Lepisosteus oculatus: one gene and its partner. The protein of the gene in region 2 interacts with the protein of the main gene of each other region in a pairwise test. Links are inferred from orthologs where the notes say so. Each region holds a gene or a part of one and is shown on either strand. Other genes may lie near its edges.

Region 1 (8,392 bases), on a different chromosome or scaffold from region 2:
TACTTTTAGTTATAATTTTAATAATACACTATTGTATGTCAACCCTGTATTCTTTAACTGAAATAAATTACATCAGAAAGCCAAGAAGAAAATAATGGAAAAGTTATAATTATAGGTATAATTACAGGTATTTGCTGTTTTTTGTTCCATATACAACAATACATAAATACTAATTGTAGCTATACTTTGCCTTTCCATAAGTACTGAATGGAACCACTAGATCTTCTAAACCAATTCTTAGGACATTTTACTGGAATGTATACCTGGTAGTCCCAGATCTTCACCAAGCGATCATCAGCTCCAGAGATGAGGTACGGTTTGTCTCCTCCACTGTAATAATCAATGCAGTTCACTCCTTTCTCGTGGCCCTCAAGGGTAAAGTTTGGAGAAGAGGACCCAAGCTGCCACACCTGATAAAACAATAAAATGCTGGCTCATTTTCTAAAGAATCATGGATTTGGACATTGTATCAGTCAATTCTGTACTAGAACAGCATTAATCTTAACATACTTTGATGTACATGACTAAAAAGATATGTAGCCTCTGTGAGATGTTACCTTAATAGTTCTGTCCAAAGAGGCACTGGCAAACTGGTTGTTGTCTTTTGGATTGATGACGATCTGCATGACATAGTGGGTGTGGCCCTCAAACACCTGGCTGCAGGACCACTTCTTCTCCCAGTCCCAAAGCTTGATGAGCATGTCATCTGGAGCACCACAAACGTGCCGTCATGAGATCGGACACTATTCTTTCACATCTCCTCTGAATTTCAATACACCACACAACACACTAAAGGATAATTCACTAGGAATAACAACACCCAACAGCCAAGAATTAAGTGCACTGAAAGGTTTACTGAGTGTTTTAGTCTTTGTAAACTTTGATTAACACGCTTGGTTGAGCCTGGACGAGGTGGCTGGCACCCCTGGAGGAGGTGACCAAGGGGCAGCTGCAGAGGATGAGAAGGAGTGGAGGGGGATGTAAAAAACATACCCAGGTGGAGATGGGGATTACATATAGTTTTTATAATTTGGATGTTAGGAATTGTTCATTCCTGACAGCTGAGAGTGACTGAACTTGGCTGTTGGCTGTTCCAAACTTATATTTATAAACTCCCTTTCAACCACCCCTTTTTTCCCCACCATTCTTTCAACTATACACGAAAAGGAAAGGAAACACCACAATACCACATAATTCAAGAACTTATCATGCATGTTGTATTACAAAGACTATTCTCTTGTGAGTTGCCATAGAACACATTTAAAAAGTATTTCATACAGACAACTGCAGTATACATGACAGATAACATCCATGCATCACTTCAGATCTTACCACTGCTGGTGAGAATGTAGGGCTGAGTGGGATGCACTGCTATACAGCGGATGTAATCCGAGTGTGCTTCAAACATGTGAACCCTTTCCAGAGTGTTGTAGTTGAATACACGGATTTGCATGTCATCCTTTATAGAACAAAAAAGAAAGGAAACTTACACATACTTGTCTCAATGTCGATTATCTTAAATCTCCAGCTGAATTTTGTATTGTAAAATTTAAAACCTAAAATTGAGTTTAAGAAACAAAACCATGACATATTATGTTGTGTACCAAATTAATTTATACTATGTAGAGTTTAAAAATGTAAAATCATTTTGCTTCAATGTTACTAACATCATAATGTCTTCTGAAACCATGAGACTCCCATTTTGCTCCACTTACTCCAATTTGGTTTAAAACCAAATAATGCAATACTTATAAATCGAGCTAACAGTTTTAATTCTGTCTTATTATTCAATATTTTCCCCACTATTAAATAAAGGAAAAACACATACTGCTCCTGTGATGACCCAGTTCTTCCTAGCAACAAATTTCGAGGCTCTTACTGGCAAATCACACACTTCAAATGTCTTCACAAGGGTCTGGGGATAAAAAAAAACGTTATTTGGATTACTACAAATAAATTAGCATACTGCTATTTCCCTTGCAACAGCACATGAAGCAACAGTTATTAACAGGTTATGTTTTTGGAGTTTTGCTTGTTTTAACGGCTTTACTAAAATGCACTACACACCAAAATACAGCTATTTATTTGCCAGAGTACAGATAATGCAGACCCCACTTATCTGTTCACTCACAGTACTGCAGCCACATCTTCAGCCAGTAGCCTACCTGGGTCTCATGATTCCACACACAGACACTACCATTATACAGACTGGCCAGCATCCACGGCTCAGTGGGGTGAAGATCGACACTCTTCACTCGGTCCGAGCGAGCGGTCAGCTTCCGCTTAATGTCTAGTCTCAGAGGCTGGAAAACGAAGGTCAGTGCAAACATGAGTTTTTTTAACCTCAAAGGCGCTTCAAACATTAAAAAGTGATGTGCAAAACATATAAACGCCACTTGTGCTGACAGTACGCCTTCAAAGATGAACATTTAAAAGTCAGAGACTTGTATTTTGCTTTAAGGAAAAAAGGCCGATTTAACAAGAGTCAACAGTTGGGTTTTCAGTCTACAACGTCTGCCGCCGTCAAAAATTAAAGCAGCAGCTTAGCGCTGAATCTCTCTACAAGAAGCAGTGATAGAGTGGGTAAGATGCTGTCCAATGTTAAATACAACCTAAGAATTAGGGTTAGTCTACAAAACTCTCCAGGTTTTCAGTGTTTTTGAGCCAGAGGTGAAATTCTAACGTTGGATCTTGGTTTGACACACCACACACCCTCATCTTCCCTTTAATTTTCAAGACAACACGGTGTTCTCACGGCTGACATCACAAGTCACATTCGTATTTTGCAATGACGACCAGCAGGGCTAACTCAATTAATCGCCACAAACACAAACGGATTCAATAAATAACCAAACAGTCCCGTTCTGCATTTCTAATTCCTTCCTGCTCGCTAACCCCTGTCGTGGCAGCCTGTGTGTGCAAGGTTTCTGCCTGTGCTGCTGGGTCAATACAGTGCTGCAAACGTCGGACCCCCGTTTTTTTCACTGAAGAAAAAATACTTTGTAAGTGTACAGCAATTAGAATAATTAATAAAACCCTCAACGTCACCATATTTCAGTTGTGTTGATGTTATTGTGCGCTGGGCCTTCATCTCAAATACATTTCGTACATCAAGGCTTCAGAATTAACTGCAAGCCCTAGACTACAATGCTAGCAGAGGAACCTATTTAAAACGTAACTCCAAATAAAAAAAAGGTGTTCTATGTCTGCTTTTTATCACTTACCATGATTGCACGGAGCCGGAAAACTGATATAAGCGATTACCGGATCCCCTCTCCTAGGTATCGGCCAGCAGGAGCTGCGCTGGACTTACTGACGTGGAGTTTCCTGCCATGAATCACGCGAGAGGTCCCGGAGGCATCACCGCGAGATCTTGTGCAGCTGGTCCAACCCTGGACATTTTCACCGTATTATGGCGATTAGGAGGGGCGTTTTTATTTAGCGTCTCATGCTACAACGTGCTACAACACAGTGTTTTCTATGCATTATATTGTTTAAATAGTAAGGCTGTAAGTACATCAAAATGTGAGCATCATTGTTAAAAATGCCTTTTGGTTCGATCATAGTATGCACAAGGGCTGGCAGAAATGAGTTTCAACCACACCGTCCTCCAGCGAGTTCCAGACTCTAGTTGAAAATCATGTTTGCCTTCTAGGAACTGGGTTTTAAGTCCTCCCAATAGATGGCTGCCTGCTTCGCTTCACACACCCATCTTCGAGGTGGGGAACACGGATGAATTATACTGTTGTTATTTTTTTAAGAACACAAGAATGATTAATTCTTAAGATTAAGACTGTACAACGCATCCACCTTGCGTCTGGGCAGAGGCAACATTGACAGTGACCTGTTTCTGGCCTGAACACATCTACACATCTACTGCTACATCTGTTCTTTTTCTTTTCCCGTTTACAACCGTTTTTTGTGCAATATATGCCAGGGACCCGTGCAATACATTTATATTTATATTTATATCTTTATTTACATCTATATATTAATATGTGCAATACGATTTTTCTGCGTACTGCTCTGTTCTAGTTTGTTCTTTGTGTGTCCGGACTGTGAGTAACTCTTTTAGCGCACCCCTCACTGTCCTGATTGTATTGTATGTATTGTATTATTATTATTATTATTATTATTATTATTATTATTATTTTTATTTTTATTATTGTATCATTCGTTACACTGTGGCGGTGTCTGTGTTAGGCTGCTGTTGCACCACTGCAATTTCCCTCACGGGATCAATAAAGTATCTAATAACGAGGGTCCATTCGCTCCATCCTAGCTCATTCGGAAGTCCATAATGTATTTACTGATTCAAGGACGTCATCCTGGTTTCTACAATGAAAGCACGGTCTTGGTCCACTCTCCCACACCCCTTTTGATAAAGAAGAAAAACAGTGCCTCCTGTTCTGTGTTTGAAATGCCCTTTCACATACTTTCCCATCGTGCCCTCTGCTCCGTGTAATTGTTCATCCTGAAGACGTCTGGTGCGTTGGCTTTGTGCACAGTATATTGAAGTGCCGCCCTGCTGTGCTTCCTTCCCGTGTCAGTGGGTAGGTAGGGGGTGGCACTTTTCCCATGGTCCAAATGTCTGTTTTCCATTAACGCAGAAATGAACTTTGCTATGCAATCTCTGGATTTATTAGAGGTGCAGCAATAAAACTAGAGCATTCGTGTGTTCACATGCTTTATTTGAAGCCATACATTTGACGTTTAGGATAGTGTCTATTGAGAGCAGAAATGGTGGTGTAACAGTTAAGACTGCTGTCTCATAGCTCTTGAGTCTTCTCCCTATCTCCCAAAGACATGTAATGTATAATAATGTAATAATGTTTCTTTATTAGCCCTATACAATTTCTTGCATTAGGAATTTGTCTTTTCGCATACTCCAGCTTTTCTCCATGGAGACACAGACACACAGACAGGGAGAGAAGCTTGGGGTCAGAGCGCAGGGTCTGCCATTGTACAGCACCCCTGGAGCAGTTAGGGTTAAGGGCCTTGCTCAGGGGGCCAACGGAGTATGATTCCTCTGCCAGCCGCGGGATTTGAACCAGCAACCTTCCAGTCACAGGTGCAGATCCTTAGCCACAGAGATGCTGGCTAGGGTGGACGGACTATTCTAAATTGCCCATTTCCTTTCAATGTCCTAATGTCCCATGCAGGGTGACAGCAGCCTTTGTGCTCTCTGTCTTGCATTGGACCTCCAAGGTTAGTCTCTGTGTTGCTGAGACCCTCACCTGCACAGGCAGATTTCTCATAGAACATGGATGTGTATTAAAGTCCCCAATTCTCCACTTCCAATACTCCTTTAATAATAATAATTATATTAGTTAATAATTGCTTACACTTATATAATGCTTTTCTGGACACTCCACTCAAAGTGCTTTATAGGTAATGGGGACTCCCCTCCACCACCACCAATGTGCATCCCCACCTGGATGATGCAACAGCAGCCATTGTGCACCAGATCGCTCACCACAGATCAGCTATCAGTGGAGAGGAGAGCAGAGTAATGAAGCCAATACATAGAGGGATTAGTGGGAGGCCATGATTGGTAAGGGCCAATGGGAAATTTAGCCAAGATGCCAGGGTTACACCCCTACTCTTTTCAAGAAACGCCCTGGGATTTTTAATGACTACAGAGAGTCAGGACCTTGGTTTTACACGGCACCTGTTTACAGTATGGTGTCCCCGTCACTATACTGGAGCATCAGGACCCACATGGACCGCAGGGTGAGTGCCCCCTGCTGGCCCCACTAACACCTCTTCCAGCAGCAGCCTTAATTTTCCCAGGAGGTCTCCCATCCAGGTACTGACCAGGCTCACACCTGCTAAGCTTCAGTGGGCTACCGGTTTTGAGTTGCAGAGTGATATGGCTTCTGGCACTAGCCACCAACTATCCACCTTTAACACTATCCACCAAGAAACCCATTCCAAGCCTACATGTGACTCAGCTTGAAAACAAAAGAGGAGAAAAAGATTTGTGCTGAAGAAAATTCTGAGAAGGGTCAATACGAAGAGTTTTCCGAGAAGACTGGTCTCCAGGTTTTGCGTTTTTTAAATTCAAGTCTACTGAAAATAATTGTGTGTACACTGTTGTTTAAAAAAATGCCAATAATGGAAAATGTGGAGACTGCACATCATGCAAGTTTTCAGAGTGCAGCACTTGAAAATCAGAGTAATCAGTTTCTTTTATTTTCTTAATGGTGCAATTTATTCCAGGGGTTGGCTTTTTTTCTTTCCTACTCCCCATACAGGCTATTTTGTTACAGTATTTGTGTATTGTGTGGCTTTCTTTCATTGCTTTACTAGATTCCCAAAGCATGCTGACAAATGCAATGTAGGACTCTGCTGCTTAATCCAGAATTAAGGAATATATATTGTCATAAGTGCATGGCCAGAAATAATATGGAAGCAGTCCAATATTCCACATATTCAGCTTAAAGCTGTTAAGCTTTGCTTTGTAGCTAGAGAGCCTGTTTGGATTTCTCCTCTCATTTATCAATGTATTCCAGTATTCTGAGGAGCTCTCAGAAAGTTACAAACGTTCAATAAGGCATTCATATAATATCGGAGAAAATCACTGAAATTAGAAGTGAGCATACAATTCCAGAATCAGACCTTCCTTTGACCGCATCCCTGAATTGTTGTTTTTCTCACTTATTATGTTCTCCCCTCAATTAAAAAAACAAAACAATGACTTTAGAACCATTTTTGCAATACTGTCAAAAACCGGTTTTAATATGCTTAAAATGATAATAATGAACAGGAATTCCAGCTTTATTGTTATTGTTTCTTCTTAAACACCTGATGGCAGACTTTGTCTTCACATGTCAGTTCCTGGAGAGATATACAAGAAAGATAGGAATTCATTTATATACAAAGTAAGAAAATATTCTGAATGATGTACTGCAAATCATTAACTAGAACATCAATGGCAAAATGTAAAAAAAAAAAGTCCTTTCATGGTCAAAAACTAAGTTGTGCCTGGCATGTGAGGTGAACAGTTTCCAGAAGATAAAGCAGAGTGTTAAATTCGACTATACAGTGCCTCATCTCCTTATCTACCCCAAGAAACATAACTTTACTTGTATATAAGCTTCTAAAAATGTGCATTTTGTAGCTACTGTATCTCCTGGTGAAAGCCAGATGAGTTGTCTTTGAAACAGCTGCTGTAAATAAATCGGAACATGTTACCTATTCCTGTTGTCCTAAGAGTCATCCTTTTAGCAGTACAGAGTCACTATTGATTTACTGTAATATTGTAGGCCTAAGTGAAGAAAGTGTTTATATGACGGTTAAGTGAAAAGAGGAGGACTCACCAAGTGCAGTTTGTCTCCTTCAATCCAGTGTTTCCAGCCTCTGTTGGCTTTTTCTCCCTTCTGGACACAAACCAGTTTATCACCATCCCATGTCACCACAGTCTGGGATGTAAAAAGACAACAAGAAAATGACAGCATTTTGTAGGCATTTGGACAGTGTGACCAGTCTGTGTACGAACAGGATTAGGCATTATGTCTCAGAAAATTCATTCTCCTTACATAAAAAAGTATTTTGCTTCCACGTTTGTTTTATAGTTTTCTTGGTTAGCTATGTATTCTTTGAGTGGATAGTGCAATTTGTGATCTGAAGACTTCATTATTCCTTGATATAAAAGATTAAGAAAGATTTAAAAAGACAAAGGTTCAAGAGAAGAAGCTCAATAACAAGCTCTTTAGCTAAAATGTTCCGAAATAACCTCTACTCATTCTCATATATTTTTTCTATTGGTCAAATATTACTTCCTTTCAGAAAAGGTCCTCTTGCTGAGGAAATGAGAATACCTGTAAAAAAAAAATATCCCAGATTTAATCATGCTTGCACAAATAAAGCCACCCATATTATGAATATTAAACATAATTTTGTATTTCTTTTTGGTGAATAACCCTCAGGAACCCTTAACGTGTTAACATTACCAAAAAATAAATAGCATCATAACTAAAAATAACTTAGAAGCTTCAGGCGGTTTCTTAACGGTGAAGAGGTTTGTACCTTGACCACTCTGTTATCCAGGCCCTTAGTGTGTTCCTCAAACTCCTCTCCTATGGTGTAGTTCACATCATAATTCCGAAATGTGCTCAGGGTTTTCGTCTCAAATTTGTCCCCATTCTGAACAAACACTTTTGTCTGTTTCAGGTGCAAGGCAATTTTGCGGGTAGCAAAATCTATATCTGTTTTTATTTAAAAAAACAACAACAAATAAACAATTTATTCCAGAAATTGATGCATTGGATTGGCATTTGTATCAGAACATTTTAATTTAATTTCACTTATTGCTGTTTGTCATGAAATTTCCATATCTGTATTGTGATAAATTCCTGTCACCTTGTGCAATTTAAAATGGTAAAAGTCA
Region 2 (8,069 bases):
GGTAAGTAATTCGTGCAGCGTCTGATGCAAAGAAAACCCGGTGATTTGTCTTATAACAATTTCATCATTGACAAGCAAGCAGTAAATATGAAAGATGTTTAGATGTAATGTGGTATGTAATGATTTTACACTGACAGAGATTTATATTCTGTATGACTGTGCACTGCTTAGCTCCATTTGTTTCACATTTTCATGCTTAATTGATTTGATACACGAATCCAAAAACAGGCTATGAAAGTGATTATTAATGTTGTTTTGAATTGTAAAAATTTAAAAATGTATTTAAGCTTAAATATGGGGGACATTGAATGTATTTAGTGTTTGATTTAATATTCAGTAATGATTAACTTTACTATTTATTATGACATATTTAATATTCAGAAAAATACTTTAAAGGGTAACATTCTTGGCCTTCACAGAATGTCTCCATTGGAATTGTTGGCAAAGACCTGGAGTTTACTATCTATGATGATGACGAAGTTGCACCGTTCCTCGAAGGCCTTGAAGAGAGACCCCAGAGAAAGGTAGATATATTTAACCGTACAGTTCTTTCACAACTTCCTCTTGCTGAAAATGTCTCCTGTGCTTTCCATAAGCACAATGTTCTGCTCCATATGTATTCAGTATACAATTGGCTAAGGTTTTTTTTGCCAAGTTATATAATATATTTTTATAAAATGAGTAGCTTTCTTTTTATTTATATAAATTAAAAGAGAATTAAGGGACAATTAGGGTGATTGTTTCCCTCAAGGTGAATAAGAAGAATTATTACACTTTCCAAAATGTATAGGATTTATACAACAATGCAGCAAATTATACTGTAAGGCCTTCGCTTGCTTTACATATCCTTCTGTTGAATTTTTCACAGTAATTTTTCATGCTCAGTATATTTAACTGTATACTTAAGGCAAGATTTTTGTTTTAGAAAAAATAATGATGTTTCTTTATTAAAGTTGGGATTTCTTTACTGAAGCCTGCTCCTGTTTTGATTTCTAGGTTGCACAGCCGCCTGAAGAGCCAGCAGGAGGAAAAGCTGATGAGCCCATGGAGCACTGATGTTGGTCCTGGCTGCCAAAGATTTACACTGCTGATTAAAAAGTTCACAATCTGTAACATACCTGCTGTCAGTCTATGACCATGCATTCACAAAGTAAATGTCAACATGGAGCCCATTTTGGCCTAAGAAGATCTTAGAAAGCCACCTACCACAATATTAGCTTTTTTGTTTTCTACAAAGACTAGTTATATTATGCTTTTCTATATGAACCAACCTCAGATTGAAGTTTCAGAATAAAATCTTGTTTTCCCTATGTGTTTCAGGTCGTAGCTTTTTTAAAAAACAAAACAACAGAAATGTTAAGTAACAACTGCTTCCAATAAAAAATAAAAAAGAATTTGTAGTACCTTGTTAACCATGTACTTTATAAGGTTGCAGTCTAAAGCACTCTTCAGAAAACACACTTGCTAAATGTAAGGATCCTGTGAGATAGAAAAGGTTTGCGCTCCATTAAAAAATAGAGGGTCTTGAAGGTGAACCCGAAGTTCCAGGACTGCATGTTTGTTTTCATAGTTAAGTTTGTTTTTCATAGTGAGTTAAATCAGCTGGTACAGTGTAAGATGGGTGCTGAATTTCCTTTATGTATAAGTAAAGGGTAATCATTTGGTACCAATTAATCATGAACCAGGCCCGAGTTTCAGTTATATGTTGTTTTCAGAGGTGGTGTCCAAGGTACGCTTATTTGCCAATTTTATTGTGTCATTTTTTCTGTCTGCTTAAGTCAAAATATCAGGTAGCAATATGCTCTCTTGGCATCTTCTAACGTTCTCTGAAAAAAATGGGCTTGCTAGACATACATAACATGATGTTAATTGATTATTGTACGCACACCTCTTGAAATACTACTAATAATCCCACTTTCAGTTCAATATGGATAAAGGTGATGGTGCTGTTTAAGTCACCCCATTGAATTGTTAGTTTTGTTTAGATAGAGGATTTCTTGTGGATAGAAAGGTTATCTGCAGGTATTTTAACACCCTTTTAAGTTCTATGTTTAATTGTTATAAAGTTTGTTGTATTAGGAAAGAAATGAGCATATTTTAGTTTTCATGGTGATAAAACGGTACCCATTGGAAGTAAAAAAAAAAACCCTGAAATATTGAAAATGTGACCGGATTATGAAATACCAGGTGTATTTTCTGCTATAATTTTTCCAGACGGGGTCATCAAATGCTGTGCAACAATGTCCTGTGTCAGGCGAAGCAGACCTTTGATATTGATTTGAGTCAAGGTTCCTGCAGTATGAAGGACACCGCTGAAGGAAGAGGTGTAATAGTATATCCCAGGGGTGACCTCAAACCTGCAGATAGTTTATTTTCTAGTTTCACAAAAAGGGCTGGCACCGCAAGAAGAGGTCATGTTACAGAAGAAGCAGTAAGGTGTTCTCCCCGTTAGTCATTATCCCCAGGTCACAACAACTTCTGGTGAGGTCAGCATTTTTTTAGGTATATAGAATATTGTAGAAATGTTCTCTCATCATTCCAATGAGATGAGTTCTGTTGTTACTCCTGTCATTGTCTCTGTCCCTCACTCCTTACTGATCATGCACGCTATTCTTTTTCATTCACATTTGAGCATGATGCGTGGAAAGTTAAGGAAACTGACGCAGATGAATTTCAGATCATTAAAAGATATATCTTCATTGGCATGTTTATTGTGAAATCATAGTCCCTGTTGGGCTTCAGTAAATATTTACTTACAACAAAAATAATATTCCTTGGCTCACATAACAATCAGCTAAATGTAAGCCAGCAATAGTGCCTGGGATCTTGTTCTGTTAAGGGATAACAAGGATAGCAGAATGTCCATGGCTTCTGTGCTGATTGATTTAAGAATACATATGAACAAGCATTAGCAACACAGGGTACAACACAAAGCATATGATATGATATACTGTAGAACTAGTTCATTTATAGAAATGAAGAGAACAGAGGAAGGGTGAATGTTCTGGTGATGTACTTAATGGAGTACCACAGAGATCTGTATTAGGACCACTACTCTTCCTAATTTATATCAATGGTATAGTTAGTAAACAGAATGTTAGTATATACTGTATATACTGAACATTCAAATAAACAGTAGTTATAACGGCTAGTTTAATGGAGTCTTACCCTCGATACTGTATATGGGGCATAATTGTTATTTACTTGAATTTCACCAGGCTTTAATCAGTGGAAACACATTCTATTTTTAAAAAAATACATGCTCAAATGGAGTGATATGTTTTGATGCTCAGTATAAATAAATGTAAAATTGTGATCAATAGGCTCCTTCAACTAGAAGACTGTTATGAGAATACTGTACACAACCTTTATCACTATGTTAAAATGAAAACATTATGTTAGAATAGCATCAGTCCAGAGAAGAAAGAAACTGAATCTTCATAGTCTTGTATTGAAGAGTATAATGGGAATTGATTCAAATATTAAAACATATCAAATCATAAAATCAAACCAATAGACTTTTTCAGAATCAGTAAACAAATATGAACATGAAACACAAACATGAGATTGAGAATGTGTTATGTTGGGGTTTTTTTTCACATTAGGGTTGTTGGGATTTGGACTAGGTGTTGTTGGAGCTGAACTAAACTTTCAACAAATGGCTGGATGAAATCCTCTTAGCTCAGGTTGCTAAGTTAAGCAACCACAATCTAGACAAACCAAATAGCATCCTCTTCCTCTTTTGTAACGTTTCTTTTGCTCTTCTCAGAAAAGCCAGATAAAAATAATGATACCAATACTAATGCTGTTGACGTAGGAAAAAAAAGTCTGTTTTATGCTAATAAAGTACAGACAATCTATGATCTGGTCACACCCTCAGGGGACATTACTGACAAAGGGAGAGAGATGGTTGTGGGGTATCAGGAAAAGGTAGACATGACCACAATGATAAATGCCTGCACTTATGTAGAATGACCTGGGTTATGTGGAGGTTCTTGGTTAACCTATGTCACTGGCCAGAGGCTTGGTGGACAATTGTGGACATTGAATCCTCCCATTTAAACCCATTTGACAGACAGTTCTGATCATGACATAAATCCCTAAAACAGAATGAAATGCACTTTTGAGTTCTAATAGGGGGAGGTGTTTGTGATAATGAAGCAACGAGTGGATATTTACAAAAATATTTAAAATTAGAAAAAATTATCATTATTGAAACAAAGTTTTATTTTTATTAAGGAACATATATAGTGTTGCACTGGTGTTTATTTTTTCTGTTTTTGAACATATTTTAATAGGCGATTTGCAAAGAACATTTAAACTTCATCGTAAAAATTATAATCTGAATTAACATCGATCAAATCGTTTTTTCAATGTATTTTAATGATTCGGTCATATCTATAAACAAGAAATGTTTAAATAGATTAGTAGGATTTAACTACTAATCTATTTAAGCATTTCTTATTTATAGATATGATCGAATCAATAAAATAAAATTGAAAAACTGATTTACCTATACTCTGTTTCTATCTATACACTAAATGTTGGTGACGTTAAAAGTTCACATTTGTACGCATGCAGGCAGAAACGAGTTTCTGTTCCCTCTCGCCTTAGTTTAAGCAAGTTTGTCCCTCTTAGCTTCCTGTAGTATTGATGTGGCTCAGACCTCCTAGTTCCACGTCACTTGGATGTTGTAGCGTAGTGCAGCTGGGGAGAGGTTAACACAGTGAATAAAAAGGTAAAGAAACTTTCATTTTAATTGTGTAGATTTATGCGGTTTTGTATCATTTTACGGAAGTTTCTTCTATAAGAAATATTTACAATTGCATTGTAATTTTCAAAAGGTTCTTCCTTTTTGTAAATTGAAGCTCCACATCTCGCAGGTTATTTTAGCTGAAGTTCCAGCAAGGCACCACTACAGAGAGCATTAACAAGGAAGACATTTGTCAAGCCGGAGTTGGATGACCCATGATAAATCGGTTATGGCTGTTGATTTGAACGTTATGCACAAACTTGCTACTGTGGTGGTTTTGCCTCCACAATACCGATTTCTGATGTAGCTTGTGGGATTTTGTGTAGTTGAGCCGGTCACTTCCTGAGGCCTATCTTTTAGGCCAAACCTCTTGATTGTGCAGAAGAACGAGCTCGGTGCAGTTTACTATAAAATTATGTGATCACACCTGCACAGAATAGTCAACTGATATGGTCAATAAATTAGTGGCTTTCCACATGCTTTTATTGTATTGTAGTTTACACCAAGGGAACAATCGTTAAAATATCGTTGTGTAACGTCAGACTTGGGTAGACAAGTTATGGCCCTAATACAAAATGTTTACGTTTATTGTAATATCTTAAAAGGATATAGTTTCATTTTTGCCTTATTACTTAGTATTTGTTCTTAAATGTTGTTTTCACCTGCCCTTTATATGGTGGTGTTAATTGTATTTATTCTCATTACGGAGAAGAACCTAAAAGATGATAAAATAGTGCTTCATGATAAGTTACTGTTGGTTCCCAGCAAGTTTCTTATTAATATATGAACGTTATGCTGTAAGTTTTACTTGAATTATGTTTTTGTCATCAGGTTGCAAAACGTAAAATAAAATAATAGAAGTGGTGTTTACAGGTGTTCTAATTTACGGAGGCCACTTATACATGTGTATTTAAATGCGAACGTCCTGTGAGCAGTAAGTGTAATTATGTCTCTATGAACAGCACGGATTTGACGTGCCAGCGTGGAGCAGGATATTCTTGGTGCTGTACAGGGAAGAGGTCAGGGTGTCTGCAGGTGTTCTAGGTCTCTTTAAAGCAGCAGCACCTGAAGATCTAAGATAACGTAATAAATTGGTCCAATTAGCCCAGTGATGATCTGACAGGACATTAAGAGCTACATTGAAATTAAATCCTCTAGGACCAGGATTGGACAGCCCAATTCTAAATGATTTGGTCATTTGTGACAGCTGCTTTGTTGATTTTAATGCCATTTCACGTCGATAAATAATGTATAATATGGCAAAGTTACTCGCGTTTTGCACAGCAGTCACTTGCGATCAATTTTATCTTAAAAAAATGCATGTTCTTGTTCTTTGTTACAGGGTCTGATCAACATCAAGTTTCTCCTGGTGTTTTTCGTTCAGAAAATTAGACAGCCGGCATCATGACCGCCGCGGAGAATGTGTGTTACACTCTCATAAATGTTCCGATGGACTCGGAACCGCCATCAGAACTAAGTTTGAAAACAGACCTCGGTGAGTGTTAAATGCAAACAACTGCAAGGGAAGCTAGAAGGAAGAACTTGCTGTAGATTTACACCAGGTTTGTTGAATGGTTAACACATGGTTAAAAAAATAAAAGTGTTTCTTTCTTTGATGTTTTGCCACTCACGATTAAAGCATTTTTGGGGGGTAGTTTTCCTGTTTTCTAAAGGGGATAGGATTGAGTGATCTTTGTGTGAATGTGATTATGCACGTGTTCATTTTCAGTCTTGTGGTGCTGTTCACTTTTAGAAAAGGGGGATATCAAGGCCAAAACGGAGGCCTTGAAGAAGGTGATCATCATGATTCTCAATGGGGAGAAGCTGCCTGGCCTGCTGATGACCATCATTCGCTTTGTACTGCCTCTTCAAGATCACACCATTAAAAAGCTGCTCCTTGTCTTCTGGGAGATTGTTCCCAAGACCACTCCAGATGGGAAGCTGTTGCAAGAGATGATCTTGGTCTGTGATGCCTACAGAAAGGTACTTGTCCGGCTCACTAGTGTGTCATGTTCTGAATTTGTGCCTTTTGACAGTGTTGTCTGAAAGTGTTTGCTTTGGAAGACCGGTCACGTATGTTGTGAAAAGATTTTTTCATGTCTCCTGTCCTGATCTTCCCTACAAAGATGGGCAGAGGAGAATACATTTCCATTGCACCAAGTCTTAAAAACTCAGAACATTTTGATATTTTTCTTTTAGTCTGGTTAAGGGCACTTGTTTCCTGCCCTCATGTGCCATTTTTCTGTTCTGTGTTCTGTACTGTGTTGGTTAGTTTTTGCCAGGTCATGTGCTTGCTTTGACTCTAAGAATAAGACGTCAAATATACATTAGATGTACTTCACTTGGTTTTGTGGGTTTACTGCAAGATTTTAACATCTGCAGTTTTCATATGTTTCATATTTATAATCATATTGCTGGCCGTGTTAAGGTCTCGCTTCTATAAACAACAAGAGTGCTTCTTCACGTTGCACAGCTGTGGCTTTTTCTCTCCACTTTTCAAGTGTTGGTGAGTGAGCACTTACCACTTATCTTTCTCGTAAAAAAAGTCAGAAATACTTGAACAGCCAAGAGAGCCAAGAGCGTTTCCCCAATATTAATACTCTTAGGTATTTTCCAAAAGCCATGAAAGTTGTAGGAATTGGAAAATGGGGAACAGTGTTTGTTTTGATCGAGACCCACTTCTATAATCATCAATAGGAATTTTCAGTGCACCTCTTATATTTGAATTGGATTTTTCTTTTCACTTCTAAGCAAAAGACATTATGATGAAGAGTGGGTAAAATAATAGAATAAGGATTTAAAAGCTGTCATGGCTGTTGAGCTCAAAGCTTGTTTGAACGCTTCTTCTTTTACAGCTTTGCACTTAAGAAATTATCACCAGGACCATGCAGGAGGAATGAAATCTGATCCAGCCACCCGTTTCTCGTGACTCCATATTTGCCACAGAAAACTATTCTCACAGTGTGCTTCTTGCCACTTTGATGGGGGAAAAACACCTGATCATGAAGCAAAATAGGAGGCAATTGTTGACCTAAACTGTACTGTTTAATAATCGCCAGAAATCTGTTGTTGCTTAAGCCTGAATGCAGGTTTAACTCAGTCACCCACTTCAGCATTGCGACCTGGCCTAAATTGCCTTCGGCTTTGGAGTCACTGATCTGCCCTTGTGTCTGCTGGGGTGAGGATAGTTTGTGGTTATTCATTTCTGTTGCATTAACAGGACCTACAGCATCCTAATGAATTCATTCGGGGTTCCACCTTGCGGTTCCTGTGCAAGCTGAAAGAGTCTGAGCTGCTGGAGCCCTTGATGCCAGCG

Evidence for each region. The genes of interacting proteins can lie anywhere in the genome.
Region 1: the proteins of copb1 (region 2) and copb2 interact in a two-hybrid assay, tested with the Homo sapiens proteins (2 studies listed by BioGRID, with this or other methods). The link is inferred for Lepisosteus oculatus from reciprocal best matches to the Homo sapiens genes COPB1 and COPB2.

What each region holds. Positions count from the first base shown.
Region 1 is NC_090708.1:7,920,854-7,929,245, reverse strand, and holds the start of copb2 (coatomer subunit beta'), read right to left. Parts: upstream 3,335-8,392; 5' UTR 3,228-3,334; coding exon 3,225-3,227; intron 2,304-3,224; coding exon 2,166-2,303; intron 1,916-2,165; coding exon 1,829-1,915; intron 1,460-1,828; coding exon 1,333-1,459; intron 707-1,332; coding exon 558-706; intron 411-557; coding exon 264-410; intron 1-263. Other genes in the region: retinol-binding protein 2-like, read right to left, coding at 6,787-6,840, 7,323-7,424, 8,032-8,210. UniProt on the Homo sapiens protein: The coatomer is a cytosolic protein complex that binds to dilysine motifs and reversibly associates with Golgi non-clathrin-coated vesicles, which further mediate biosynthetic protein transport from the ER, via the Golgi up to the trans Golgi network.
Region 2 is NC_090716.1:10,266,742-10,274,810, reverse strand, and holds the start of copb1 (coatomer subunit beta), read left to right. Parts: upstream 1-4,640; 5' UTR 4,641-4,738; intron 4,739-6,095; 5' UTR 6,096-6,157; coding exon 6,158-6,248; intron 6,249-6,506; coding exon 6,507-6,736; intron 6,737-7,973; coding exon 7,974-8,069. Other genes in the region: psma1 (proteasome subunit alpha type-1), read left to right, coding at 1-1, 420-524, 997-1,056. UniProt on the Homo sapiens protein: The coatomer is a cytosolic protein complex that binds to dilysine motifs and reversibly associates with Golgi non-clathrin-coated vesicles, which further mediate biosynthetic protein transport from the ER, via the Golgi up to the trans Golgi network.